4 linked regions of the Elephas maximus indicus genome follow. The protein of the gene in region 4 interacts with the protein of the main gene of each other region in a biochemical or structural test. Links are inferred from orthologs where the notes say so. Each region holds a gene or a part of one and is shown on either strand. Other genes may lie near its edges.

Region 1 (7,104 bases), on a different chromosome or scaffold from region 4:
AACAATTTTGGTCAGAGCTGTTTTCTCCATCCTTCCTTGAACCTCATCTCAGGCAGTTTCCTCCAAGAAGCTCTCTCAGATCTTTCCCCTTAGCAGGTTTAATGTGCTCCCATCACACCCTGTAACATCTCCACCATAGCATTTATCACCTTTCTGGAGTCTGTTAGTATCTTTAAGACTTTTCGTTGAAAGCTGAGACCATGTCTTATTCTTGCACCTTGGCAGAACACCTGAAAACTATAAGCCCTCCATAATTGATTCATGAATAGATGCCCTTCAAATATTTGAAGCCATCTATCAGATCCATCGTAAGTTTTTTCTCAGTGTTCCTGGCCAGTTTTTTTCCCACTCCTGTTCCTAGCAGCGCCCTTCCTAAAATAAGCCGGACAGCCACGCCCGCAGCACTCGGTCTCTCCTCGCACGGAGGACACGAGGAAAATTCCAGCTTTGCCTTTGCCACCTTCTCCCGGTAGGCTCTAGGGTCCTATGGTATTCTTATGATAGTAATCGCAAGGCAAGTTCAACTTGCCAGCAGCTGCGAGAAAGATTCAGAAATCCGCACGGGTGAAGGCAGTCAGCACTCTAACCACGCCCATCTATGCTCAACAGAGGGCTTATTCCAAATTTTCAACCAATTTGTCTTTTTCAGAGAGCGTCCCACCCCTCGCGCATGCTCTCTACGCCTCACCCGGCTCAAACCCACCCCGTACATCTCTCGCGCATGCGCCAATTCTGTCGCCTCAGTCCTCATTACTAACTCGTGCCCTCACTTGACAAGGTTCACAACTTCGTTAAGGCCCCCGCGCCGGCACTAACCGGTACTCGAACTCCTCGTCATCGTATTTGTCCGAGTAGTAGATTTGTTTGTGCGACATAATCGCTCAGCCTGAGGGACTTCAGACCCGCGCCGCCAACCTCCAAACAACTCCCAGCAGCACGCGCTCCCACCCCCTTTGGCCTCGCTTTCAAACACACCGCCCACACTTCTTATTGGTCCCTTTTGTTCAAGGCGGGACAGCTCCACCTTCAAGCCTCCGATTGGCTTAAATTTACTACTACTAGGGTCCTTATTGGAGGGTAGGTCCTACGTTTCTCAAGAACGAGTTTGGGTCAAAAATAGGCCTCTTATTGGCTACCACTGCTCCTGTGCGCGTTCTCGCGCTACCATTGGCTGACTCGAGAAAGTGGGACGGGTGAAGGAGGGACGGTGAGGTAGAGGGTCAGGGGTTAGTGAGACCGGAAGTGAGAGCAATAAAGTTTCTCCAGGGAGGCCGGGTCCGGGGAGAAAGTTGGAGAGGGAACCTAAGGAGGCAGTGGCGTAATCCGGAACCAAACAGGCCCGCGGTGCGGTGCGGAGACTCCATGCAGCCCTGGTGAGTCTTGACGTTTTTTCTGTTTAGGTGATCCACATCTCCACCCCGGAACCCCTCTCCCGGGACCCCACTTCCGGTCTTCATTGTTAAGTCCCGCCCCTTGCGACCCCCTCCGCGGAAGTTCCACCTCCCAGCTCCAGGGGGCTCCCTGAACCGTGATTTTTTTTTTTATTTATTGTTCCTGACGCTACCCAGTCGTCCATCTTTCCTGGAAGTCCCACCCCTAGACATGCTTCCAAACCCTACTACGAGAAACCCTTCGTTAATGCTTCCAAGTCGCCGAAGCTCCGCCTTCTTGCGACGGTTTTCCGCTAACTCCTGTCTGTCAAGAAGCCTGTCCCCCAAAAGGGCCAAGCCAACCCTCGCGCTTCAAAGAACTATTCGAGAATCCGTTGAAGCCACGCCTCTGTAGAAGCCCCGCCCCTCTAGAAGCCCCGCCCTTTCCTTAATCTAAGTCTGATCGTCCAGAAGCCTCTCCTCATAGAAATTTCCCTTGCTCGCGTCCTAGGGGCCACGCCCCCGCTGGGGCTTTATCCTTGTCATCACCTCTGAAGTTTTGTCTTCAATTCTAGAAGTCTCACGTGCTTACACTTCCCGGTCCGTCTTTCAGGTCCTTGGACTCAGTTCTCCTGCGCTCTCATGCTCCACCGGGTGGGAAGTCACAGTTCCCATCTCTGGCCCTGAAAAGTGGGAGAATAGAGGCACCGTTTTCCTTTCCCTTACCCCCCTTCCTAGAGTGGACCGGCTTGAAGTGGGCTGGACTTGGGGTTTGGCACGAGACTGGTAGAGAGACTTGCTCATAGATTCCCAGCCCTATTCCCTCCATTGCCAGCCCACTTCCCAGGACCGAGTCCACCCCAGAAACAGCTGCAAGTCGTACCTGTACCGCAGGAGTTGGGTAGGGCCGTGGATTCGTTAGTGTGTGGCATGTGCTTGTGACAGGAGCCAAAATTTTCTATCACCAGACAGAACGGTGGTTTGGAGCAGGGATGGGGAGCAGTGTCCTATTTTGCGGTTTGATTTTTTTCTAAGGGACTCCTCAGTCTTCCCTTCCCCCAAACCAGAGTTCTTGCCTGGGCATTCCTCCTGGCTCCGCTTGCCCAGCCTTCCCTACTGGAAACATTCCTGAGGCTTTCGCCATTTCCTGCTACTTCCCGCTCCTCTTGCCTCCTCCCTGCTGGGCTGAGAAGCCAGGCACAGCTCCTTCCCCACACCCAATCACCGGGACTCCCAGTAGGCAATCTCCTTTCTCCCTATGCAAATTTAGAGTTAAACTTCCTCTTTCTTTTCTTCCAACTGCCCATACCTGTTGGTCACTCCCTGCCTCTGGATACTGCAGACTCCACAGAACGGCCATCTCTAAAGATTAGGGTTAAGTGCTATGGCTGCTAACCAAAAGGTCAGCAGTTAGAATCCACCAGGCGCTCCCTGGAAGCTCTATGGGGCAGTTCTGCTCTGTCCTATAGGGTTGCTATGAGTTGGAATTGACTCGACGGCAACGGGTTTGGTGTGTGTTTGTGTTTTGGGGGGGTGTGAGGCTGTGGCAGAATCCTTTCCTCATTCTCCGTTTGCCTGAGAGCTGAGGCCTTAGGAAATGAAGTGATAGAATTCCTTTTCAGGAGTGGTGGATGGAGTGATGAGCTCTTCTGGGATGAAGACTAAGGGGAGGTGAAAGCGTTTAGCACAATATATAACACGTTTTAAGTGCTGGTACTGTTATCACTGTAATCATACGATTATTCCCTTCTTTTTATTCTCTGAAGTAAATTGAAAAAAAAATAGGGTAATTCTGAGGTGATCCTGGGGGTATGTGTATCTTTTTGTTTTTGGCCACTTTCTAACTTCCTCTGTGATCCCCTCAAGCACAGCTGTGACAGGAAGCTGTGGGTGGAAGGGATGGGCTCGGGATTGTTCCCTGTGTCCGGCCTCAGCCCATCTTCTCCTGGCATCCCTTTCTCCTGTATTTATTAACATAGATCTGTCTTCTGTTCTCTCTATCCCTTTGTAGCTTGGAGGCCCCACTTCTCTTGGAGAGCTGCCACACTCTCCCACCTCCCCCAGCCAGACTCCTTCCCTGGTGTTAGGGACACTGTGCTCCATGGTGGACACCTGGGCATTCCCAGTCACCACTGCAAGAGGAAGAGTATGAGTATACCTGGCAGGACTGGGGAGTTGACTTTAGAGTTAGTACCCAGGCCATCCGCTTCTCAGCTTTGACAGCTTGCTTTGCTAACTTGTGCCTGTGGAAAAGCAGCCAGAACAGTGCCTGGCTGTGGGCTGCTGCTCTTTGCCATGGTGGGTGCCTTGCATAGGGAAGAAGCCGCAGCCAACCTGTCCTCTTGCTCCAGCTCTTGCCTTGTGGCTCCCTGATGCACCACCGAGGTTGGACTTCCTCCTTACTTTACCAGCTTCGCCCTTCGTCTTGGCCCCTCTCTACATCCACTGGGACCACTTCCTTCCCTTCCCCATCTCCCTACCTCCAGTCCACAGCTGTTGTGGCAGAGGATGCTAATGGCTCCGGCTCCCTAGGTCCACAGCCCCACTGTGTGTTAGTGAAGGGCGAGGTGGCCTGGGCTGGAAGATGGGGAAATTTGAGTGTTCGACCAGGACAGGAAAGAAAGTGCTGAGCTCAGGGATCCCCTCCCTTTTCCACCCCCAGCTGTCTCTGTTTCCTCCCTCATTGCTCCCCACCCCCCCCCCCGCCCACCTCTCCCTTTCCTGGTTTCCTGCTTCCCCCCTGGCCTGCCCATGTCCGGTTTGGACTGATCCAGACCTCCTCTTATCTCCCTCCTTTCCTTCCCTCTATCCTTCCCTTCAACGCCCACCTTACTCCTCCCCAGATAGCTGGTTGGTTGTTTGGAGGTGGGGGAAGAGGGACGTCGCTGTCCCTAACCCAGCAAGGGTTCTAGGTTGGGTTGGCAGTGGGGGATCAGCCCCTCAGAGCCTGTGAGTCAGCACTGTCCTTGGGATTGGTCTCTCCCCTCAGCTCTCCGCCCCTGAGGAGGAGCTAGGCAGCTCTGGGTCCAGCCTGTTCTCCTCTCGCCAGAGAAGAGGCTCCATGCTGGGCGGAGATGGGCCCTGAAACTGTTTGGGGCTGAGCTGGGGGAGCTGAAGCTACCTGTCTCTCTCCCTCCTCAGGACTCCTGAGACCCCTGGGCTATAGAGTTCCGACCAGGCTAAGGGCCTGGGGATGCCTCCTGCCTGGCCCCCTTGCCCTGACTGGCAGGGGGGCCGGGCTGGGCAGCAGCACCCCTCTCACCCCAGCCATGGATCTCCTTCCCCCCAAGCCCAAGTACAACCCACTTCGGAATGAGTCTCTGTCATCGCTGGAGGAGGGGGCTTCAGGGTCCACGCCCCCGGAGGAGCTGCCTTCCCCATCAGCCTCATCCTTAGGGCCCATCCTGCCACCTCTGCCTGGGGACGACAGTCCCACTACCCTGTGCTCCTTCTTCCCCCGGATGAGCAACCTGAAACTGGCCAACCCAGTTGGGGGGCGACCAGGGCCAAGAGGGGAGCCAGGAAGGGCAGCCGAGGATGGGGAGGGGATCGCAGGGGCAGCCATGCTGGACTCAGGCCCCCTGCACCTCCTCCAGGACATGAACAAGCTGAGTGGAGGCGGCGGGCGCAGGACTCGGGTGGAAGGGGGCCAGCTGGGGGGCGAGGAGTGGACCCGCCACGGGAGCTTTGTCAATAAGCCCACGCGGGGCTGGCTGCATCCCAACGAGAAAGTCATGGGACCCGGGGTTTCCTACTTGGTTCGGGTGAGTGAACATCCTCCCTTCCACTCCTTCCCAGACCCTCTTCCAGTTCCTCTGCTCACTCCAACTTTGCTGCTATCTCTTTCCCTAACAACCCCCTCCTTGAGGACTGTGTTCCTGTGTTCCATTTCCTTTCTTAAGCCTTTCTCCAATTCTGTAGCCCCTTCCCTTCCAGTTTTGCCTGGGCCCCCTTCCTTCTTGACTCCCCCACCCCCCACCCTGCCATGCTTAGTACAATGCCCAGCACATGGTAGGCCCTTAGGAAGTGTTGGAATGTGTTACTTCTTGATTCTCCCCTCCAGTCTCCTCCCCCTTTTTGGAGATGTCACTAGATTGTCTCCACCCCACCCAGTGCCTGTCACTCCCCTCCAAATTCTCTTCCTCATGCCTGAGGTCTACCTAGCTTCCCTTTCTTTCTATCCTCATTCCCCTGTTGTCTTGCACGTTGTGGGTTGTAGCCATGGTCAGTGGGCAGAACTTGCACATCTTTACTTCCCTCAGGGACCATGTAGGGAGAAGTCCTAGGGTCCTTTGTGAAGGGGTTGATGGGAGGCAGCTGACTCGTTATTCCCCTCTCCCTTCTGTCCTTCCCCTCAGTACATGGGCTGTGTGGAGGTGCTGCAGTCCATGCGTGCCCTGGACTTCAACACCCGGACTCAGGTCACCAGGTCAGTGGGGGTGGCGGCGGATTGTGGGTGCCCTGGGAAAGGGGAGAAGGGAAGTGGATCACGTGGTTGTGGTCTAGAGGTGGCTTATTTTGGGTGGTAAAGGGGATTGAGAGAAGGGAGCAAGTTGTATGAATGAGAAGGGAAACTGTGGTCCTGACCCTCCTTACCTGTCCAGCCCTGGGAGTTGTGTGGGAGGTGGCAGAAGCAGCTAGCAGGTGGAGCTTGAGTGGAAAATGGGGGCAGATTGAAAGTTGCTGCTGCCTTTGGGAAGGGACCAGGACATTTAGTGGCCGGAAGGAGGTGGGGCTATACCCATTGAGGCCCTAACCCAATCAGCCAGGAAGCGGCCTCTCAGTGTCATCAAATATTAAAGGCCCTTAATTCAATCTGCCACAACAAAGAGCCTGGAGTGCCCCTGGAGTCTGGCCTGGCCTTCCCCTCCCCCAGCCCTGTGGTAGCCCCAGCAGAGTGGGAGGCAGGCTCTGGGTCTGAGTACCCTTCTTTCCCCAGGGAGGCCATCAGTCTGGTGTGTGAGGCTGTGCCGGGTGCTAAGGGGGCAACAAGGAGGAGAAAGGTACCTGGGGCTGATGGGGCTACGGATGCTGCTGGGAGATGTGGAGGGGCAGGAGGAAGGCAGATGGGCATGTGGGGAGAAAGCCAAAAGGCAGAAGTGTGGTTTCCTGTTGTTGGGAACCCTCAGCTTCTGAATCCCCTTCCCTAGCCCTGTAGCCGTCCACTCAGCTCCATCCTGGGGAGGAGTAACCTGAAATTTGCTGGAATGCCAATCACTCTCACAGTCTCCACCAGCAGCCTTAACCTCATGGCAGCTGACTGCAAACAGGTTGGTATGGTGAGGCAGGGGGACCAGAAACACTGATGGGGGGCTAAACGGAAATCTGGTTATGAAGGCAAAAAACAAGGAGAGAGGGCAGCAGGACAGTAGGGATGAGGAAATTATGAGAACAATGGGGTATGAAGCCAGGAGGGTGGGTGGGCTAGGGTTGGGGGCACCCAGGTGGACCCTGGGGCTGTCTGACACATGTCATTCCCTTCCTTCTCCATCCCCTCCCCTAACCCTCAGATCATTGCCAACCACCACATGCAATCCATCTCGTTTGCATCCGGCGGAGACCCGGTGAGTTGAGCAGACAGCAAAGGTGGTGGGAGAAGAATAAGGGGCTAGGGATTGGGAAGACACTGGCCAGAGATGTGAGGATGGTAGTACTGAGGGGATATCTGAAAAGGACTGGGTCTTAGGGGTCAGGAGTGAGGTGGGGGTATAAAACTTCCCCAACTGTCCTCTTT
Region 2 (7,020 bases), on a different chromosome or scaffold from region 4:
TGGCGTGACAAGACCTCCTACCGCTGGCAGCTGCTGCACCGGCCTCAAGTTGGCTACATCCGGTGAGGGGAGGGGCTGAGCTCTCCTAGGGGACCCCAGGCCTGGTCTTTCTTTCCCCTTTAGCTGAGACTCACCGGTGACTCCTCTTTCCTCAATTCCTTGGTACCACGGGCCAGGACTGGGCTACTTCTATCATCCCTCTCACCACAGACATGCCACCTTGGCTCTGCTTTCCTCCTACCATCAGGCAGCAGGGGCTCTGGCTGGTCAGGCTGCAGGGGCTCTGGCTGGTGCTGCCAAGGACTTATGTGCAATGTTGGGCAAGTCCCTCCTCCTCTGGGCCCCATTTCCCCTCAGTAAAATAAGGGTGTTAGGCTAGATGGCCTGAATGATTATCTGGGATTCTCCAAACCCCAAACATGCCTCATTAAGTCTGACCTGGAAGGGTTCATCATTTACAGAAGAACAAACCCAGGCCCAGACTTCACAGCTCTGAGTAGCAACAGCTGAGGCCTCTCAATTCAGCACTTTGTCCATAACTTTACATTTTCCTCAGACAAATGCCCCCACTTGGTGGGGAGCTGGGGCTGCTAACTGCAGAAAGCCACTGACAAGCAAAGGAGGGGAAATGGGTCTGACTGGAGGTGGACTTTCTAAGGCCAAGAACCCAGAGTCCAGGGATCTGGGTTAGTTCCCCTTTAAGGTGCCTGGGGCTGTGGGGGGCCAGAGCAGGGGATAAGGGAGGGGTGGACTAGAGCCTGGGAAGCGGGTGACTTCACCCCCCAGCCCATTGTGCTCATCGTCATGGCAACCCAATCCTCGCTTGAAATGCGGCTGGTGCTTTGAGATGCAAAGGGGGCTGGACAAAGAGCCAGGGGCCCCAGGCCTGAGAAAAGCACCCCCTTCCCTCCCCTTTCCTTTCTCCCTCCCCCTCCCTCCCTTCTCTCTGCAGCCTGGTGAATTCAAGGGGGACTGGGGGTGAGCAGGACCAGGGCATGGTGGCACAGTGACCACTGGCATCCCAGCACCAATGGACCCCCTTTCCTGGACAGGGTGAAGCTTTATGAGGGTCCCCAGCTAGTGGCAGATTCTGGGGTGATCATTGACACATCCATGCGAGGGGGGCGTCTTGGTGTATTCTGCTTCTCCCAAGAAAACATCATTTGGTCCAATCTCCAGTATCGATGCAATGGTGAGGCACTAGACCAAGATCCACCTGACCCCTCATGCCCTTGTGAGAGAGCCACATCTTCTGACCTTACTCATTTCCCCTTCCTCAGACACAGTGCCAGAGGACTTTGAGCCATTCCGGAGGCAGCTGCTCCAGGAAAGGGTGTGAGGAGGTGGCCACCGGATTCAGAATCCTGATTTTAGACCCTTTGGCCTCGGGGTCCATCCTGGAGACCCTAGGGTCTAATCTGCAGCCCCTCAGCCAAACACAGACCCTCCTTTGGCACCCACCAGGAGTTCAGCCCCATAGGGGTTGGGGATGGGACATTTTCAAGGGGTATTTCTCAGGCACTCACCCCAGAAAAGGTAACACCCCAGGAAAGATAACAGCACATTGCCATAAAGTTCCAGTTGTTTTCTAACCTAGTGCAATTGCTTATTTTAGGGATTTGCCGGGATAGGTCGGGGAGCAGGAAGGAACCTGAAGGGGAGAAGGGAAGAAGCTTGGTAGGACAAAAGTTAAGAGATCTAGGGGAAATTTGGCAGAGTTTGGGGCGCAGGTGGGGAAGGCGCCGGATGGGGTTAGGTGAAGGATGAGATGCTGCTCGGAGGATGCCTACAGCCCTCCCCACCCTACTTACTCACGGCGGCAGCGGCAACACTCCAGTCTGTCTTAGATAGCCGGGGTCGAAGCCAGGAGAGCGGAAGCTGCCCCGCTGAGGTAAGGGGGAGGCCGGGGGGCCGGGGGGGCCGGAGGCCGGGACGAGTGCAATATTGGCGGGGGAAAGAACAACACTGCACCGCGTCCCGTCCCTCCCGCCCGCCCGGGGCCCGGGATCCCGCTCCCCACCGTCTGAAGCCGGACCGGCCTGAGAAACGGGGGTGGGCTGGGAGTTGGGTTCCCCTTGAAGGCCAGAGAGATTTGGAGCCTGGAGTAGGGTAAAAGGAACGGGAAAGGGGATGAAAAAAAGACCACGAGACCCCGGAAGGCCGCTTTCTGATGCCCGGGCGTTGCGCGCGCTTGCTCTTTAAATACTCAGACTGCGCGGCGCAGACTTGTCGCCATGGTAACGCGTGTCCCAGCAACCGAACTGAATGGCTGTTGCCTGGCAACGGCGGGGTTGGCGCTTGGGGCCGCCCACCTAGATCCTCGTGCTGTCTGTAGCCGGCGGTGGGGGGGCGTCCCCGCCTCTCCGGCCCGGGCGCGCTGACGTCAGCCGCTCCCCCTGCCCCGCACCCGCCCCCGGGTCTCGCGGCCGCACAAAGCGGCGCAAACCAGGCCGAGCAGCGTGCGGGCGGCAACGGTGGTCCCGTGCTTACTGGCCCGGCTTCCCTTCAATCCTGCGCCGCACCGAGGTGTTTTTGAAGTATTATTTTTCAATCTGTACTCCTTGGGGATAAAAATGTCTTCCTAATACAGACGTAACTACTTTTATCAGCCTTAGACCGCAACTCGGGACCACCGAACGGGGTCTGATACCCTGAGCTCCACGTGCCGCAGTGGCTTGATACCTCTCTGCCCCCCCCCAAATTATTTCTGCCTTTCAAAATACCTCTCGGTCCTCCCAAATTACGCACCCTCACATACAACTCTGCCCCCCACCAAGTGCCTGCCTTCCCCAAATACCAATCTAGTCTCCAAGTTAGTTCTGTCCCCCAAAATGCCTTCACATACCATTCCGTCGCCCCACCTACTCTTCGCTTCAAATACGTAACTGCCCCTACATATTTCTGTCCCATTCCCCCTCCCACATTGCGATGTCGTCTCCCAAGTTACTCGGTGCCCCTTTCACAAACCTCAAGACCCCACCCACTTACCGCCATTTCTTCCAGACACTGCCCCACGCGCCCCAGAGTCCCCTTCCTGAAGCGCCCAGCCCCTCCATCGCACAGCACTTTCCTTCTCTGCCCCTGGCATTGACCCTTCCGTCGGGGCCCTGCCTTCTGCAGCTCTCTCCAAGCCCCTCTCAGGCAGCACAGCCCAACCTCCTCTCCCCGGACCGGGCCAGTCTCTCAGCCCGCCCGGGACAGCCCCGCGAGGCTCGCGTGACCACTAGAGGGCAGGAGAGCGGGGCCAGCAATGCTGGCCGTCCGCGCTGGCAGGTGGAAGGTGGAAGGCTGGGAAGGAAAGACCCTAGGGTTCAGCGGAGCCCAGGTTTCGTCCTTCTTTACGTGGAAATTTCTTTCCCCGCCCCCTGTTACGGAGAAAGCCAAGCAGAGAGCCAGGATGCTGGAAAGTCTGGCCGGGGCGGGGACTACAGGTTTCGGGGTAAAACCGCGTGTGGAACAGGACAGGACAGGGAGCGGTTAGAGGGGTGGGGCTATTCCGGGAAGTGGTAGGGGGGAGGGAGTCCACAACTAGTAGTCAGTCCACTAATTATTAAACCCTTTTTATTTTTTTTCTCAGTTCTCAGAGTGGACCCAGTAAGAGTGGGGATATGAGAGTGGAGGGTTTAGGGGTGGGCTTCTGAGCCTTGCTGTCTAGGACCTTGACTTAGCCCATTTTCTCTGTTTCCTTCTCTCACCCTAGCTGTTGTTCTGGACCCAAAACTGGAGCCATGGGGACCCAGGTCCCAGACTCCCTCCTTCCCATCTCCTGCGGCTAGGGAGTGGTTGGCAAAAGGGGGAGGCCAGTTGGAGAGCAAACAAGTTGTCCAGAGGGTTGAGTGATTGGAGCCAGTGTACCTGAGGGGCCAGGAGTAGTTGGGGAGGAGGAGGAAGAGGTAAGAGGTAGGAAAAGGGGGAGGAGGTGGTAGTTTGTTACCTGTCACCTGCTCCTGCTGGGCCTAGGCGGGGCGGGGGACCGGTATAAAGCAGCAGGCAGGCACCTGTGCCCGCTCCACCTCACCTCACACACAAGCAGTGCCTGCCTGAGTCTGCTCTGCCCCCTCCCCAGCCAGTTCACCACCACCATGACACCAGTCATCCAGTCCCATTTCTTCCTCCTGCTGTTACTCCCAGTGCTTACAGGTGAGGGGTACAAGGTGGGGAGGGGGGTTGTCTTGATCATGCCATTTCCTGATGTTTCTGTGGGCTTTGCTTCCTGGCAGATAGTACCATGAGAGGCAGGAGTTGTAGACAGGGGTGGCCCAGTCTGAACCAGAATGAAGGGGAGAAGACGAGGCTAGGCTGAAAAGAGGCGGCCCCCAGGAAAGCCGGTGTCAGGCACAGGTGAATGTCCTGGAGAGAAGTCTTGGGGGGAAGGGAAGTCAGGAGAGGTAAGTCATGGGAGTGGAGAAATGCACAAGCTGGGAGCAAAGGGGCACTGAAGGGAGAGGGAGGCTGCTGGCAGGAAGAGCCAACCCAGGGGCTGCCTGGCCAGCGGCCCACTCCCCAAATCCTCCTGGCATTACTTCTCCAGTTGCCAGAGGTTGTATTTTCTTCTTGCTCTGATTTGTCCTCCAATTCCAACCCTGTGGCCTCAATTTCTTACACCTGCCACCACCCCCACTTCCGTAACGGTTCTTACAATCTCTGGCTCCACAGCTCTCGAACAGAGCGGAAGTCCAACCCACTCTGGCACCTCAACCCAGACCACCAGCCCTGCCTCCGGCTCTATTACCACTTCAGTTCACCATGGCACCTCCACCCTGGTCACCAGCCCTGCCTCAGGCTCAACCACTCCAGCCCTCAGCAGCACCTCCACCTCGACCACCAGCCGTGTCTCCAGCTCAGCCATCCCTCCAGTCAGCAATGTCACCTCTGCCACAGCCACCAGCCCTGCCTCTGGCTCTATTACCACTTCAGTTCACCATGGCACCTCCACCCTGGTCGCCAGCACTGCCTCAGGCTCAACCACTCCAGCCCTCAGCAGCACCTCCACCTCGGCCACCAGCCGTGTCTCCAGCTCAGCCATCCCTCCAGTCAGCAATGTCACCTCTGCCACAGCCACCAGCCCTGCCTCCAGCTCTATTACCACTTCAGTTCACCATGGCACCTCCACCCTGGTCACCAGCACTGCCTCAGGCTCAACCACTCCAGCCCTCAGCAGCACCTCCACCTCGGCCACCAGCCGTGTCTCCAGCTCAGCCATCCCTCCAGTCAGCAATGTCACCTCTGCCACAGCCACCAGCCCTGCCTCCGGCTCTATTACCACTTCAGTTCACCATGGCACCTCCACCCTGGTCACCAGCACTGCCTCAGGCTCAACCACTCCAGCCCTCAGCAGCACCTCCACCTCGGCCACCAGCCGTGTCTCCAGCTCAGCCATCCCTCCAGTCAGCAATATCACCTCTGCCACAGCCACCAGCCCTGCCTTAGGCTCTGTTGCTACTTCAGTTCACCATGGCACCTCCACCCTGGTCACCAGCCCTGCCTCAGGCTCAATCACTCCAGCCCTCAGTAGTACCTCCATCTCAGCCACCAGCCGTGTCTCCAGCTCAGCCATCCCTCCAGTCAGCAATGTCACCTCCGCCACAGCCACCAGCCCTGCCTCCGGCTCTATTACCACTTCAGTTCACCATGGCACCTCCACCCTGGTCACCAGCCCTGCCTCAGGCTCAACCACTCCAGCCCTCAGCAGCGCCTCCACCTCGGCCACCAGCCGTGTCTCCAGCTCAGCCATCCCTCCAGTCAGCAATGTCACCTCTGTCACAGCCACCAGCCCTGCCTCAGGCTCTATTGCTACTTCAGTTCACCATGGCACCTCCACCCTGGTCACCAGCCCTGCCTCAGGCTCAACTACCACTCCAGTTCAACATGGCACTTCCACCAAGGATATGACCCCAGGTGGCAAGAGTACTCAACCCCCAGTTTCCAGCCAGCACTCTGATATTCCCACCACCCCTACCAGCCAGAGCTCCAGAACTAATGCCAGTAGCACTACCCGTAGCATAGTTTCTCCTACCTCCTCCAATCATAGCACTTCTTCCCAGTTATCTATTAGGGTCTCCTTTTTCTTCCTCTCTTTTCGCATTTTGAACCTTCAGTTTAACTCGTCCCTGGAAGACCCCAGCACGAACTACTACCAAGAGCTGCAGAGAAACATTTCTAATTTGGTGAGTATTTGCCTTTCCTCCACCATGCTGCCTTGAAGCGGCCAGTACTCAAACCTCTAGCATCAAGCCTAAGTCCTTTCCCACTCACCTCAGTTTTCACAGATCTATGGAAAGGATTATCTGGGCCTCTCTAATATCAAGTTCAGGTATAGTGCTGGGCAGTGGACTCCGTGTGGGAGAGGGTGGGTGGATGTTGGCACGTCTGTGGGGATGGACTGGTGCATTCGTGGTTGTGGTTGGGAAGCATGTGCTGAGGCAGAGTTGCCCATCTCCCTGTGACCAGTCCAGGATCTGTCATGGTGGAATCAACTCTCACCTTCCGAGAGGGTACCACCAATGCTGACAACGTGGAGATGCAGCTTGGTCAGCATGCAACAGAAGCAGCCAGATATAACCTGATCATTTCAAGAATCAGTGGTGAGGCCACTTCCCCAGCTGCAGCCCAGCGTCACACCAGGGGCCCTCTCCTCCAGCACCTGGGTTCTGACTCTTCCCTTCTGAGCTGGTGAGGGAAGGGTTGCCCCCTTTGGGAGACTGCCCTGACCACTACTTTTCTTTCTAGCGCATGAGGTGCCTTTCTCTTCCTCTGCCCCACCTGGGTCTGGGGTACCAGGCTGGGGCATTGCCCTACTGGTGCTGGTCTGTGTCCTGGTTGCACTGGCCATCACCTATCTCATTGCCCTGGTAAGTGCTGTTTCTGGCCCTGACCGAGTTGCCCTGCCAGAGGGAGTCCCATGGTCCACCAAAACACCCTCTCTCCCCAGGCTGTGTGTCAGTGCCGCCAAAAGAGCTGCGGGCAGCTGGACATCTTTCCAACCCGGGATGCCTACCACCCTATGAGCGAGTACCCCAC
Region 3 (7,132 bases), on a different chromosome or scaffold from region 4:
AAGGCCAGGGTTGCCAAGCACAGGAACTAAGGAGGGGAATAGCCTGAGATGAAGCAAGAAAGCCAGGTGGGGCCAAGCCATGCAAGCAGGGCTGGGTCAGATAAAGGATTCTAGCCTTTATCTAAGGGCAAGAGGAAGCCACTGAAAAGGTTTAACCAGGTGTGTATGTGTGTGTGTTTGTGACAGAATGGAGGGTGGGAAGAAAGATGATTAGATCTGCGCTTTTAAATATGCTAGCTTCTAGGTGGGGAATGGATGGAAGAGGCACAGGAGTGGAAGTATGGAGACCAGGTCAGAGGTGGTAGGAGTTCAGGTGAGACATGATGGCACTTCAGAAGGAAGTAGAGGCAGTGGAGATAGAGAAAAGTGGACGGGAGTTGTGATATTTATGAGGTAAAAACAATAATACTTAGTAATGAATTGATACGATGCGGGTAGAGCTATGAGACAGCAGGTAGAAGTTAAGGACGACTCCCAGATTTCTGCCTTGGGCAGTGAGTTGAGGGTGTTGTTCCCTAAGATAGTGAACACAGGTTGGCAGTGAAGGCAGGGTGGAGAATGGGAGTTTTTTTGAAGGCATTTACTGAATGCCCTCTCTGTACCTGTCTCTGTTTATACATAAACAGAAATGGTGCCTGCCTTAAAGTGGCTCACCTGCTGTTTGAGGAAGCAGGCCAAAAAGATCATTATAGTTCAAACATCAAGCAGGCCTCTCTGGACTGTGGATTCAAACAAAGCCACAGGAACATCAATCATGAAGATATTCTGTTCTTGCCCCCGCAAAGTCCCTACAGGTATTTCTGGGACATTTCAAGGGACTTTTCACATGTGCCTGATAGACAAGGCAGTCTGCGGGCACATCAGCCCTGCTCTGCTCCCTTCTGCTCCCGCCCACCGCCCCTAGCAAAGGTGCCCACTGTGAGGGTGCTAAGGGCAACACCAGGGCTAGAGTGAGGCAAGCAAGTCTGGAAAGTGAGTGCCTCCTTATGTTTTTCTAGCCCTGATGCTCTCAAGGAAACCCTAGTGGTATAGTGGTTAAGTGTTAGGCTGCTAAACAAAAGCTCAGAAGTTTGAATCTACCAGGTGCTCCTTGGAAACCCTATGGGGCAGTTCTGCTCTGTCCTACAGGGTCAGAATTGACTTGATGGCAATGGGTTTGTTTTTTTTTTTTTGGATGCCCTCAAGGTGCTGGAGCAGGCCTGTGTTCAAGAAGAAGGAGCTTCCCCAAGCTTTGAGCTACGTTAAGTCATTTGGGCCCTAAAGCTGCTCTGCTAGTACCATGGTAAAAACATGTTGAGTTTGAAAGGACAGTGAGACATCCAAATGTGGATGTCAGGTATACAAACAGCCTCTGGGTTTAGAACTTAGAAGTTTGGGCTGAAGATCTAAATTCCAGAGCTGTGGGCACGGAGGCGACAGTACAGGCACAAGACCAAGCTTTGCTGAACGCCCAACGTTTAAATGCCCTGCTCCCTCTCCACCTGGCAGCCAGCCAAGTCCCAGCTTCCCTAACTCACCACCTGCCACAGTTGGTCACTCCTTCCTGTGCATTCCCACAACCGTCTGTATGTTCTTCTATTATAACTTTTTTCACACTATGTGGTAACTCTTGGCTTACGTATTTGTCTTCACTAAATGAAGAGCTCCTGGAGGGCAAGGACTCTCTCTTACTCAATGTTGAGTCCCCATTTCTGTGTCCCCTCTCCCCTCCCTCCACATATTTGGCACCAAGTGATGTACTTCCAAAAAATTAGCCATTGAAAACCCTACGGAGCACAGTTCTACCCTGACACACATGGGGCCCCCATGAGTAGGAAAGGACTGAATGACAACTGATTAAAGATGTTTAAGACTGAACAGGTTAACTACACTCTTGGAAGAGAAATTCTCCTGCCCAGGGCCCTTTCTCTCCTGGGAACTGGCTGCAACAACAGAGGAGGTGGTTGAAGCCTGCTGGATCCCCCATTCGTGGAGGTTACACAGGCTTCCCTCAACCCACCCTCAGAGAAAGTAAGCAAAGGTTTGCCTGCCACCCAAAAAGTCTGTTGATCCTAGTCTAGAAAACCCATAGGCACCACTACCCAACTCCTTCTCAGACACTTCTTTATCAAAGTTTTATTAGCCTCAGCTCAAGGTACCTCCATCTGGGCATCTCACTACAGAGCAAGGACACTTCAGTCATTTGTAACACCACCACCCAAGCAGGATTTTCAGGGATGGCGGCAGAAATGAATTGCAAGGGAGCTATAAATCCTCTCTGCCCCCTTTCCTCCCTCCATGCAGTCTCTTTCTCCACCCAACCCACCTATTCCTTCACAGTCCACAAATGGATTACTCCCATTCCGTGAATGCGTTTCTGACGCGTTTCTGACGTTCTCATCTCTGCTCGTTTATTCACGCTCCCCTTTGCCTGGAACTCATTCTTCCCAGGCTGACATCTCTCTTCCCCTGCTTTGATCTCTGGTAACCCTTAATTTTCCCTTATCTTTTGACACTTTGTCATATTGCATTCTGCATTACAATTATTCAAAACATTCTTTTATTCTCCTACTGGACTATAAACTAAGGACAAGAGCCACTTCTTATGTGACCTCAAAGTAAAGTGCCGCACCAAACACTGGAGATAAGGGTGGGGGGGGGGGGCACTGTGGTTGCACTGAGGGAGTAAGACAGGCAAGACAATTTATGGAGATATCTGTGTTTTGTAATGATTTCTGTAGGTAATTTCTTCCCACCCCCACCAGAAAAAGGTAGCCAGGCCCTTATGTGCCCTAGTTGAAGACTTGTAAGTTTCAAAAATGATTACATTTAATAATGTCAAATTACACTGATTTCAAAATTCAGTAGTTTCAAGGCACCCAAAAGAAAATTTCCAGAAATGCTTTTGAACAGTGTGGGCTCATTGGGGGAAGTGATCAAGAAAGAAAAGGGATGGTAGTGAATGCTTTGAATGGGGGAAGTCAAAATCTGTGGAGAGAAGGAAAGGTTAGAGAAGGCACTAACCTTTTATGGGAATGTTCATTGGAAAGTAGTGACCTGGGCTCCACTTTGCATATACCAGCCCCAGCAAGAGGCGAACGCGCACGGAGACTGTGCGGTGTGTACCCTGGTCTTCAAAGCAGGGTCTGTCTCTCTGAGCAAGTCTGGAATAATCCATCATGGAGGGCCCAACAGAGGCAGAAGGACTAACGCTCATCCGAAGTCACTCATCCGAAGAAGAGACACCCCACATGATGCAACCGCCACGAATTAAGCTCTAGCCCCATTTTTTGCGGAAGAAACAGACTGAGTGAAAGCAGACCGATATGTAAATAAGTGTTAAAACACTCCTTCCTTTACGAAGACTTCTCTGACCAACAAAGGTTAACGTTTAAGAGCCTACTGTATTGCAAGCCATGGGATAAGACTTCTCTGGTTCCCTTTGTGCGTGCCATTGCGAGATTTCAGGTCTCCGATCTGAATCTTCCCTCTTAGTTCAAATTCTCCCAACAGCATTTAGTCTCCCCACTAAGCCGTCCTTCCTCAATTTATCCCTCCAAGCTTCCCTTCCCCATCTCCACTCCTCATCCCTACGTCAAACTCTCCATTAGTCTTTGCCTCTTCACCCTTTCTCCTACTCCCTTTCTCTCCCCCTCTCCACACTTAGGCAGCCTCTCTCCCTCCTCTTTCCTGCCCAGCGGCCTCAATTCTCGCTCCTTCCCGGTGCGCTACTCGGTTCTCCTTTCGTTTCCACACTTCAACGACTCCCCACTTCACCCCATACCCCCACCCCCACCCCCACCCCCAGCCCATTGAACGCAACCTGGCCCCACAGCTCAGCCGTTGAAGGGGGCGTGGCCCCGCGAGTAACAGCTCTCCCGCCCCACACTCCGCGGGCCCCCGCGCAGACAAAGACATTCCACAGTCCCTGCCCCCTCCGCGCACTCGGCCAGAAGGGGGAGGAGACACGTGTCCCGCTAGCGCCGAGTCACGTGGAAAAGAAAACGAACGAAGCCGGAGCCACCCGCGCACGCGCACAAACCTTAGGCCTAGCGGGCTCAGAGGGAAATGAGGAGTGGGGAGGCGACTTCCTCGGGCGCCTAGGTGGTGCGCAGGCGCTGTGACTCCACTAGGGACTTTGTTCTCCGCGGATAAACCCAAGGGCGGTGCCGGTGGCTGGCTGCGCACGCGCGCCGCCTCATTTCCGGTGCTCTCTTTTGCTGGGTCGCTCGGGTCGGCTTCGGTCGCGATCGCCCAGGCTCTCCCACCTTCGCCAACCGCCGCTCGGGCCTCTGCAGCTGCCGCGTCTCTTCCTCGATCCGTTGACCGCACGTCCTCCCAAATGCAGCGCCGGGACGATCCCGCCGCGCGCATGAGCCGGTCCTCGGGCCGCAGTGGCTCCATGGACCCTTCAGGTGCCCATCCCTCAGTGCGTCAGACACCGTCTCGGCAGCCCCCGCTGCCTCACCGGTCCCGGGGAGGCGGAGGAGGATCCCGGGGGGGCGCCCGGGCCTCGCCCGCCACGCAGCCGCCACCGCTGCTGCCGCCCTCGGCCACCGGTCCCGATGCGACAGTAGGTCCAGCGCCGACCCCGCTGCTGCCCCCCTCAGCCACTGCCTCCGTTAAAATGGAGCCAGAGAACAAGTACCTGCCCGAGCTTATGGCCGAGAAGGACTCGCTGGACCCGTCCTTCACTCACGCCATGCAGTTGCTGACGGCAGGTGAGCGGGCCGCCCGGCCACCCGGGGGCGTGGGTGGCAGCGGCTTTGTTCCTCTCGCTTCCCGCCCCCTCGGGACCGAGGCATTCGTGAACTCCCCTACTCTTATCTTCGGGAACCTGGTTTCCAAAGCCTCATTCTTTCGCAGGGTGCGAGGGAGAATTTCTAGGCTGCAGTGGAGGCCCGAAGGCGGCTTGGCGATCTCTTAGCGCAGAGATCTTGATGGATGGTGCTGAGCTCTCCGTCACCCTTCCAACCCTTCCCTTTCCCACCTCTTGCAGCTGCCCCGCGCTCTGAGTGCTCAGATTCTTCCAGAAATGAATGTTTATTTCCCTGTTCTCCCAAAGGGAAAGAAAGCCTTTTCGATTGCAGGTGGTGGGTGGTGTAAGAGATGAAGACACAGCCCGGTTGGAGAGGGACCGTGGGAGGGAGGGCCGAGGTGAGGCTGGAGTGCCCTGTCCAGCGCGCCGTCTACTGTGGGGTCCGGTCGGACTTAGCGGTAACTGGAGCTTAAGTTTCCCCCAGGTAGGAGCGACCTGTGGGAATCCGAGCTTGAGGTTTTCCGAATGAGATTTCCGACTTCGGCTGATAAAATGATTAATTGCGACAAGCCAAAAGGTTGGCCCCCTTTATTTTATGATGTGCGTTCACCTTCATCATTCAAGAAGGAAAAATAACCCTAGAGACAGTGAAATGAGATGAGAGAGAGAGGGAAGGAACTCCAGGATGGTTTGCTTGCCGTTTCCAAATGAGATTGAGAGAAGTTTCGCGATGCTTGTACGTGAAAGGCTCGATCTTTTTGGTTTTTTCTATTGGTTTCAGTTGTGAACTAGAGATCAGGAATGGTAGTCTTTGTTCTCTGTCTGTAGACTGGCATTCCTTTCCTGATCGGCCCTGGCCAAGCATCTAGTCGCTCAGATTTGCCTTGCTTCTCGTTAAGACATTTTAGTAAGTATTTCTTATGATACGTAAATTTTCCTAAGTAGAAATTCACAGCCTTTAACACTAAATGAGTAGTTGGACTCTGATCAGATTGATATAAAAGGCAGATCATTATGAAAATATCGTTTCCCTCCCTTTTGTTCTCTATCTTCCAGCATTGGTAAGGAGTCTAGTTTTCAACACCGTAAACTAAAGTACGTGGGGGTCAAGAATAAAAACTTTTTGATAAACTGCTTACATTTTTTTAACTCACTGTTTTGCTGCCCTGTCCACCCATCCACATTGTTTGAAACATTAATGTTTATTGTGTTCTTCTGGCAGGTTCTTTGAGGGCAGTAATTGCTTTTCATCTTTAAATTTTTCACAATCCCTTGCATATAGCAAACACCAAATATGTCTGATTGAATCTGAAAAAATGTACATGCAGATTTAGGAATGTCAGACTGATTGGTAAAGCTTGACCTGATATTCTAATTTTTATTTACCCAAATCTTCAAATAATCAGTCCAGATAACATGTATGAGGAAAAGAAAGTAACAAATTTTAGAACTTCAAGGTGTTGGCTTTGGTTTAAAATTCTGATCCTTAACTAGTTACATGGCTTTGGGAAACTGAACCTCAGTAATCTCATCTGTAGAGTGGGAATGATGAGTTATGAAGGTTAAATGATGTGTAAAAGCACTATCACAGCTCTCTTTGACCTATAATCATTAAGTAATAATTTGTCACCTCAGCTGTCTTCTAGCTGTAAATCCACGGTACCCAACAAGGTATGAAACTCAGGATATTTTTTGCCTTTGTAACCGAACATCAGGCATCCAGTGTGGTGGTCATCTCTTAAGCAAAAGGTGGTTTCTTAGGGTAACCATCAAAAACTATTGATCCTCAAAAGTTAGTTATAATTTTCACCCTCCCTGCCTGCATTGCTTAACTTCTACCAAAAGAGTGCCTTTTAATTTTTTAACTTTGGCTTTTTTGATGTCTCCCCCCCCCCTTTTTTTTTTTTTAACCAAACTCAAATTTTAACTAGAGAGATGGGATTGAGGTACTACTGGCTCAGTGAAAGAACAGAATTGGGATACTTCTTAGCATGGATAAGTCTTGATCTATGTTGGGTGCAGCTTTTAGGGTATTTCTAAATGATCTGGAAAAGACAGATTCTGAGAACATGGAATAGTACGTAGTAGTATATGATGAGGACACATGTAAGAAAAATGTAGCTATAACAATTAGGTGCCAGGCACTGGTCTGAGTGCTTTACATTAAATATTTAATTTTCGTGGTAACACTGTAAGGAAGTTACTCTTACCCTTATTTTCACCTATTAGGAAACCGGGGTACACAGACGAAATAATTTGCTGAAGGTAGCAAAGTTAGTAAGCAACATAGCCAGAATTTGAACTCAGTCTGAGTCTAGAACTCTAGGTCCACACACTTATACCTCCCTTCCCCCCACCTGCTACAATTTGTACTTAAAAATTAAGGCCTAGTTG
Region 4 (7,537 bases):
CACAGAGCCCCCAGAACAGGGTACTTGCTCGGGGAACTCCGCACTTAATAACTGTGAGGTATTGCTATGATGGCGTAGTGGTTAAATGCTGTGGCTGCTTACCCAAAGGATGGCAGTTCGAGTCCACCAGGCGCTCCTTGGAAACCCTGTGGGGCGATCCTACTCTGTCCTATAGGGTTGCTATGAGTCAGGATCGACTCAATGGCAGCTGTTTTTTTTTGTTGTTGTTGTTGCTGTGATTATTATCTTCACCATTATTCTTTCAAGCCCTCCTGTGGCAGGCTGTCTCCCTCTGCTAGGTTGAAGGTTTCTAACCCTTCTTGTCTGTGGGGTCACAGCTTTGGCTTCAGATTTCCGCTTGCCCTCTACCCTCCTGCCAGGCAGATCAAGGGCCCGACTCCTTTCATCTTTTCTCACAAACATTCTGGGATGTGGCCTGCGCTGGGGGATGGCTCTGCCCACCAGTAACTCTTTGTGTAACTTTGGGAGAGTGTCTGTCCCTCTTTGGGCCTCTACTGTGGCCTGACGGGGTGATGTGATGAGTGACTGAGTTTTCTTGGCAACTGGCTTTCACAACAGTCTGGGGGGCTTGGGCTTTTGCCCCATTTTCAGATGTTCAGGTCTTTTCTGCCTGTAATGTCCTCTATTTTGTCTCCAGACTCTAGGCTGGGCAGAGAAGTGCTTGAGCCTCAGGTTTCCCTTCCCTGTACTGGCCGTAAAGCCCCAGAAGGTGCAGCTGAGGAGGTTTGTGATTCTGCAGGGCTGCTCAGTGGTTAGTGCCATCATTTGGATGTCTTCACTCAGGCTTCTCCGCAGAGGTGCATGCTGAGGTGCACGCCTGTGGGCAGGTGGGCAGTGAGGCTGGAGACTGACCACCCCTCCCGGGGGCTGGCCTGAGGGAGAATGTGCAACCTGTTCCTTCTGACTCTCATAGGGTTATGCTTCTCCAACCTCCTGGGTTTTAGGCCTCCTAACTGCCTCCCTGCCTTAATCTATCTTCCACCCAGTAGTGACCACAGTGATCTCTCGTCTGCTAACAACTCTCCATGGCTCCCCATTGCCTCTAGGACAGGAGTCAAGCCTGGCACTTGAGGACGCTCAGGGTTCACCCCAGCGCCCCCCTTCCTGCCCCACTTCTCCCCACTGCCAGCCCACCCACCATCTTGTGCTCCATCAGCACTGCCCTGCTTGTAGTTCCACACATAGCGGTGTTTTTGGCCTCTGGGTCTTTGCTCAAGCTGCTCCCTCTGTGCCATTTTTCACCTGGCAGCTGTCTCCTCCGACTTTTGAGCCCTCCATTGCTGACCTCCTTCTTCCACCAGCCACCCCACAAGATACATGCTGGCATGGAAGCTCCTTCTCCAGGTCCCCCTCCCCAACCACTGTGCCTGGCACATGGTCACATGTCCCTGTTCCTCCAGGCTGTGAGCTCCTCCAAGGCACAGGTCTGGCCTGGTTTGTTCACTGCTGTCTCCCTAGCACCTAGCACAGACCCTGGCACATAGTATGTGCTCAGGAAAACTGACTGAATGGAGGAAGGCTAAGGCTTAGCCAGGCCTTAGAGGGTGGGGAGCATTCCAGGCACAGGGAGCAGCAAGTGCAGAGGCCTCAAGGCAAGAATGAGCTCCGTGGTGAATCAGCAAGGAGGTAGACTTGGCAGAAGAGGAAGGGGACCCAGGCTCGGAGGGCCCAGATTGGGCTGAAGCTCCGATGAATGGAACATCACTATGTAAACTCTAAGACGCAGTACTGTGGGAGGCACCAAACTTATTACATAGCTTCAGGCTCCCTCCTCCCCTAATCCATCCCACAGTCCTGAGTCCAGTGGCTTCAGACAGAGGACTCATAGTAAACCATTTGGGGAATGACAGGGCTGGTCTGGAATTTCCCACTGAGTGCCTGTGATGGGTCCAGCCTCCCAGTGGCTGCTCCAAGGATGAGCTGGCCTGGGGGTGGGTGCAGTAGATAGGCTGTCATTGAGCCAGAGCCCCCAGGGCCCTGGGTGAGATGTGGGCGGGGCCCTTGACCCCACGTCATGGGAAGCCTCTGGTGTACGGTTCTACCACCAGTTGCGTGCAGCGGGGCCTCACTCCACACTCCCCATGCTGCCCTGGGTTGTGGCTTTGACCCAGAACGCAGTGGGGAGGAGGAGAAGAGGCGGTTTCCAGAGACCAAGGACTCTGTGCCACCCATACTCACCCTTTCAGCAGTGCTGACATCAGTATCATCTGTCATCTGCTGGGAGCTTTGGGTTGGGAAATTGTCCTCACTGGTGTCCAGGCCTGGCCTGGGGCTGTGTATACAGTCAGAGATTAATACATGGTTTTCGTCTATTAATGATGATGAATGGTTTACAGGCACTAAGCTGAGTATTAAATGATGTGCTGATAAATATTTAATAACCACCTCTCCGAAAGGAAAAAAAAAAAAGCCTTGATTTGTAGCGTTTGCCAATTTCCAGGATGTAATACTTTCACCATGGCTGATATCAAGATACCAATGTAACATCAGTGAACACAAAGTTGAGAAGAGGTGCACAATCAGCTCTTGGGGGCAAATAGGAGTCAGCTGTGGGACACCACTGGATGAATCCCATCCCTAGCTCAGTGTGGCCAGTGAAGGCCTTCAGAAATGTCTGAAGAGTGAACCAGGGAGAGAAACCTGCTCCTCCAGCCAGGAGCCCAGGTTAATCTTTAAGCCAGCCTTGCAAACAAGTGCAGCCATTTTGCCAGCCCATGTTGGCTTACGGTACTGCTTTGCCTCTGACTTGCTGTAGGCCTTTGTGCAGTCCCTTCTCTCTCTAGTCTCAGGAGCCTTTGCTAGCATTCCCCTCCCAGGTGCTTTTAGCAGAGACTTCTGTCCAGGGGGTAGAAGTCCAAGCCTGGTGCCTCTTTGTCCTGGCTGGGCCTTTGTTTCCCATCTGTGAAATGGGAGAACTTTCAGAGGAGGAAAGTGGAGGCTGGCGGGGGTATTTAAAGCTGGATTCAGGCCCACCCACTAGGTGCTATGATCCAGAGAGGCCTGGTGAGGAGCCAAGGTGGCAAGCTCTACCTCCATTAGGGCAGCACTGGATCCTGGGCTAGGAGGTGGTAGGGCGTCAGGTAAGCTCAGATAGTGGTTGGGGGAGACTTTGTGGCCTAAAGCAGTATTTCCTCCATGTTCCTTTTCTTTCCTACACTTCCAACCCCTGTGCCCAGATGTGCTTAGCCTCTTTAGTTACTTGAAAATGTAATTTTCACTTAAATATCAGCTTTAACCGCCCCTTCCCTCCCCCAGCAGTAATCTCCTCAACTTGCTGGTCTGATTGGGCTACCATAGTTAATGTTTTTTCTTATGCACATGAAAATGAACACATACCTAGACACATCCAAACACTCTGAGGGACCAAGTTGCTGGGGCTGGGGGCTGGGGACCACAGTCTCAGGGAACATCTAGATCAATTGACATAACGTAGTTCATCAAGAAAATGTTCTATAGCCCATTTTGGTGAGTAGCATCTGGGATCTTAAAAGCTTGCAAGTGGCCATCTGAGATACATCTATTGGTCCCATCCTGTGTGGAACAAAGGGGACTGAAGAAAACCAAAGATACAAGGAAAATACTAGCCCAAAGGATTAAAGGACCACAAGAACCAGACTCCACCAGCCTGAGCCCAGAAGAACTAGATGGTGGCTGGCTACCACCAGCAACCACTTTGACAGGGATCACGGAGGAAAATATAAAACAGAATTCAAATTCACCAAAAAAGACCAGACTTGCTGGTCTGACAGAGACTGGAGGAACCCCCGAGAATATGGCCCCAGACACTCCACTAACTCAGAACTCAAACCGCTCCCCGAGCACACTTTTCAGACAAAGATTAGACAGGCAGATAAATTAAAAAACAACACACTGTGAGGAACATGCTTCTTAGTTCAATCAAATATAGGAGACCAAATGGGCAACGCCTGCCCAAAAGCAGGACAAGAAGGTGGGAAGGGACAGGAGCTGGAAGAGCAGACACAGGGAAAACCGAGTGGAAAGGGGGAGCATGCCCTCACATTGTGGAGAATGCAACCAAAAAAGAAAAATAAATAAATAAAATGAACACGTATCTATTAAAATAAAAGTGGCTCTTCCGGCTTGCCCCACCTGCCCCAGCTCCCACTTTGGGAAACTGGGGTTAAGGCTGGGAACCAAGGACTGGTTCTTGTTAGGAGATCCTTGCCTTTTCAGCACCTCAGTTTCCTCATCTGTGCAACAGGGATAATCTCAGGACCACCCAGCCCAGGTTGTTTTCAGGATTAGATCCCAAAGTCGACCTCAGCCACTTAGTATGGCTCCTGGTAAGGAGTGAGCGCTCCATTAGGGTCGAGGTTATTATCATTATTAATAATTGCAGGAGAGGCAGATTTGGGGTAAACAGGGTTGGTGAGTGGCTTGGGGGAGTTAGGGAGGGTATTTTGGCCTGGGAGCAGATGGGATGGGGGCCTCGTGGGATGGGGCGCTTTCACGGGGCAGCGTGGGAGGCGGGGCCTCTGCTCCCCGTCCACGCCACCCCTGCCCTGCCCGGACCCCTGGCTTGGGCCGCGCACGGGTGTCTCCCAGGTCACCGGCAGGGAGTGTATCCCCGCGCGCTTCCTCCTTCCTCCTCCTCCCGGCGGCCTGCCGGGCCCCTCCTCCCCACTCGCGCGCTCCCTCCCTCCTCTTCCCCTCCCGGGGCCGCCGCCGCCTCCTCCTCCTCTTTCTCCTCCCTTTCTCTCTCGGTCTGTCTCTCCCGGCCCGGAATCCATTCCGGCCTGGGAGCCGGAGCGGCCAGGCCGCCGTCTGCCCGATACCCCTGCCGTCCGGCGGCCCGGGGGTCCGCCCTCCCGTGCGTCCGCCCGCCGGTGCGACCGTCTGCCGGCTGCCTCAGGTGAGAGCCCTCCGCCCCTCTGCGGGCCCCTAGTCCCGGCCGGCCTGAGAAAGCCCCCGCCTGGACCACCCCGGCGTCTGATCGCGGGGCCGCCGGGGCTCCTGCCCACCCCTGTCCCCCAGCCCCGGGCCGGGCCGCGATCCCGGAGCGCACGGAGGGCGCACCGGGACAAGCCCAGCGCGGCCTTTTGTTGTGATGCCGCGGAGGGAGGGGGCTGGGCGGGGGCGCTGGAGTCCTGGCCGTGCGGGGACCCCTCTCGTTGGCCCTTCCCCCGCGAACCCCCCGAGATGCAGGCGAGCCGGCCCGAGTCCCCAGGCCAGGTCTAGGCCAAATATGAAATCTGAGCCAGTCGGCGCCGCCTCTGGCCGCGACTACCCGGCCTGGCGCCCCTGGCCCGCGGTGGGGTGTGGGTGGGGGGGGGGGGCAGAAGGCCTGGAACGGGGGTTTGGGGGGCGCCAAGGAGGGAGCGCTAGGCCCAGGGCGCCAGGACCTCCTCGTCCTCGTGGGGCCTTAGGTCGGGCCTGGTGTCGCCGGCCTGGAATAAGGGGCTGGGCCAGGCTGGGCTTGGTCCCCGCTGCCCACAGCCCCCAGCGCTGCCCGCTCGGAAGTTGGCAAAAGTTTTGGGTGCCTACCTCCTGGCGGGTCCACCTGCCTGCCTGGGTGGGGGTGGGTTTGAGGCCAGGCTGGGGCTGCCACTCGCCCTGCTGTGTATCCTCAAGCAACTGCCTGTCCATTCTGAGCCCGGGACCTCATCAGTGGCAGATGGGCCTGAGTGGAATTGCTGGGCTGGTGGGAGAATGGATTGGAGTGAACAGAACTCAACTGTGGGGTATCAGTTCAGGGACTTGAGAGTGGGCACAGTGTGTGTGTGGCCCTGGGCAAGACTTCCTGGGCCTCAGGGATTCTGTCTATACAATAGGGGCAGTGGTCCCTGGGTCACCTGGGATGAGTCCAGGTCTAGCAACAATATAGCTGAGACCAGACCTGGCTTGAGGGTGGGCCTCGCTGGTCCTGTTGCTGACCCTCTTCTTGCCCCCTAGGGGGAGCACTGATTGGGAAGTCAGGACACCTGGGCTTCTTGTCTCCCTAAGTGACCTGGGCCAAGGGATTGCCCCTCTGAGTCACAGTATGAGGAATAGGGATGCTCAGGGGAAGATTCTATGCACCTCTGCCTGTAGGGGCTTGGCACGTAGTTGGTGCTCAATAAATGAGTGCTTTACAGAACGACTGCCTAAGAAATGAAGGTGGGAGGTAAGGTTGCTGGCCCAAGTGGGGCTCATCTCCTTGTGCCCAGAAGAGGGTGAATCTTCTGAAAAACCTACTCATAACCCCCTTGAGAAAGAAACAGCCCCAGCCCAGTCCTGCCACATAACAGCTGTGTGACCTTAAGCAACTCACGCTCCCTCTGGCCACAGTTTTGTCAACTTTAAAATGAGCCAATAATAATGGCAACTGAGTACCCTCTGTGAGCACTCACCCCTGTGAGGTAGAGTCTCTTTTTTTTCTCCAGTTTACTGATGGGGAAACAGACTCAGAGAGGGGAAATAATTGGCCAAGGCCATACGACTTGAAGCTGGAATTAGAACCCAGACCTCAGAGACCCAGTCTGGCTGCCGGGCACCCCTCCAGTGATGGGAGAGTGGAGGTTGCCCAGCATGGGGCCAGGCACAGAGCAGTGTTGGAAGACTATACTGATGAGTGATTGACTGGAAGCCACGAGGCCCTTTTGGGCCTGCATTGGTGATACTGTCTTTCCACCCAGAGAAATGATTTACAGTGTGTCACCTCTCTCAGCTGACTGCTTGCCTAGGTCCTCCTGTGTGAATCCTGGGCCTTTGCTCCTGAAGATGTCCCTGCCAGGAGTGCCATAAGCTGCTCATCTGCTCAGGCTCTTCAACGCTTAGCTTAAGGCCCACTTCTCCCAGCAAGGCCCCCTGGCTCTCTCCTCTTCCTCCTGGAGTAGGCATTATCCCCAGCACACAACCCAGAATCTTCTTTGGCTTGTTCCCTGATTGTGACCTGAGGGGGAGAGGGTCTGACTCCCACAAACCCCAGGGGTCAGGGTGGGGATAGCTCAGTGACCCACTGAGCTCTGCCCAGGGTGAGCACATGTAGCTGCTGGGAAAACCCCCCATCTCTTGGTCCCGAACCATGTATCATGGATGCTTGTTTGTCTAACCTTTTCACAAGAGTTGACCCTGTTTTCTCAAGCTTGCCCAGATATAAGCACCATGACCCCATATTGAGCACCTACTATGTACGAGGAGCTTATAACTCAGTGGAGCAGTGCTGTGATGGGGTAGCAGTGGGAGTTATGGGAGGCATCAGGGAGATTCCAGGAGGTAGTGTGCCTAAGCTGAGGGAGGGCAGTAGGTCACCTAACAAAGAAGGGGAGAGGGGACTCTTTCTTCCCTCCTGCTCAGATACCTCCCAGGCCTCCATTTTCCTGCCCTCCCCTGCCCAAGATTGTGGGAGTAGTCAGCCTGGTGGGTACTTGCTGGGGAATGGTGATCAAGTCCCTGACCTTCCAGAAATTTGAATCTGTAGGGGAAGACAAGTAGCAAACCAGTTGCCAGATAAATAAATATATAATGGCAGATTGCGATAAGGATTCAGAGTGTGAGGTCTGGGGTGTGGAGAAGT

What was found.
Region 1: of the proteins of SRC (region 4) and SHC1, one has a biochemical effect on the other in vitro, tested with the Homo sapiens proteins (4 studies listed by BioGRID and IntAct, with this or other methods). The link is inferred for Elephas maximus indicus from reciprocal best matches to the Homo sapiens genes SRC and SHC1.
Region 2: the proteins of SRC (region 4) and MUC1 form a complex in vitro, tested with the Homo sapiens proteins (2 studies listed by BioGRID, with this or other methods). The link is inferred for Elephas maximus indicus from reciprocal best matches to the Homo sapiens genes SRC and MUC1.
Region 3: the proteins of SRC (region 4) and KHDRBS1 form a complex in vitro, tested with the Homo sapiens proteins (8 studies listed by BioGRID, with this or other methods). The link is inferred for Elephas maximus indicus from reciprocal best matches to the Homo sapiens genes SRC and KHDRBS1.

What each region holds. Positions count from the first base shown.
Region 1 is NC_064821.1:192,878,827-192,885,930, reverse strand, and holds the start of SHC1 (SHC-transforming protein 1), read left to right. Parts: upstream 1-4,101; 5' UTR 4,102-4,639; coding exon 4,640-5,134; intron 5,135-5,728; coding exon 5,729-5,799; intron 5,800-6,309; coding exon 6,310-6,373; intron 6,374-6,520; coding exon 6,521-6,640; intron 6,641-6,880; coding exon 6,881-6,934; intron 6,935-7,104. Other genes in the region: CKS1B (cyclin-dependent kinases regulatory subunit 1), read right to left, coding at 817-875. UniProt on the Homo sapiens protein: Signaling adapter that couples activated growth factor receptors to signaling pathways. Participates in a signaling cascade initiated by activated KIT and KITLG/SCF.
Region 2 is NC_064821.1:193,099,379-193,106,398, reverse strand, and holds the start of MUC1 (mucin-1), read left to right. Parts: upstream 1-4,001; 5' UTR 4,002-4,082; coding exon 4,083-4,140; intron 4,141-4,656; coding exon 4,657-6,167; intron 6,168-6,260; coding exon 6,261-6,313; intron 6,314-6,450; coding exon 6,451-6,584; intron 6,585-6,729; coding exon 6,730-6,851; intron 6,852-6,931; coding exon 6,932-7,020. Other genes in the region: THBS3 (thrombospondin-3), read left to right, coding at 1-62, 1,053-1,192, 1,281-1,339. UniProt on the Homo sapiens protein: The alpha subunit has cell adhesive properties. Can act both as an adhesion and an anti-adhesion protein. May provide a protective layer on epithelial cells against bacterial and enzyme attack.
Region 3 is NC_064821.1:72,957,966-72,965,097, forward strand, and holds the start of KHDRBS1 (KH domain-containing, RNA-binding, signal transduction-associated protein 1), read left to right. Parts: upstream 1-4,114; 5' UTR 4,115-4,321; coding exon 4,322-4,700; intron 4,701-7,132. UniProt on the Homo sapiens protein: Recruited and tyrosine phosphorylated by several receptor systems, for example the T-cell, leptin and insulin receptors. Once phosphorylated, functions as an adapter protein in signal transduction cascades by binding to SH2 and SH3 domain-containing proteins.
Region 4 is NC_064843.1:32,209,555-32,217,091, reverse strand, and holds the start of SRC (proto-oncogene tyrosine-protein kinase Src), read left to right. Parts: upstream 1-4,519; 5' UTR 4,520-4,894; intron 4,895-7,537. UniProt on the Homo sapiens protein: Non-receptor protein tyrosine kinase which is activated following engagement of many different classes of cellular receptors including immune response receptors, integrins and other adhesion receptors, receptor protein tyrosine kinases, G protein-coupled receptors as well as cytokine receptors.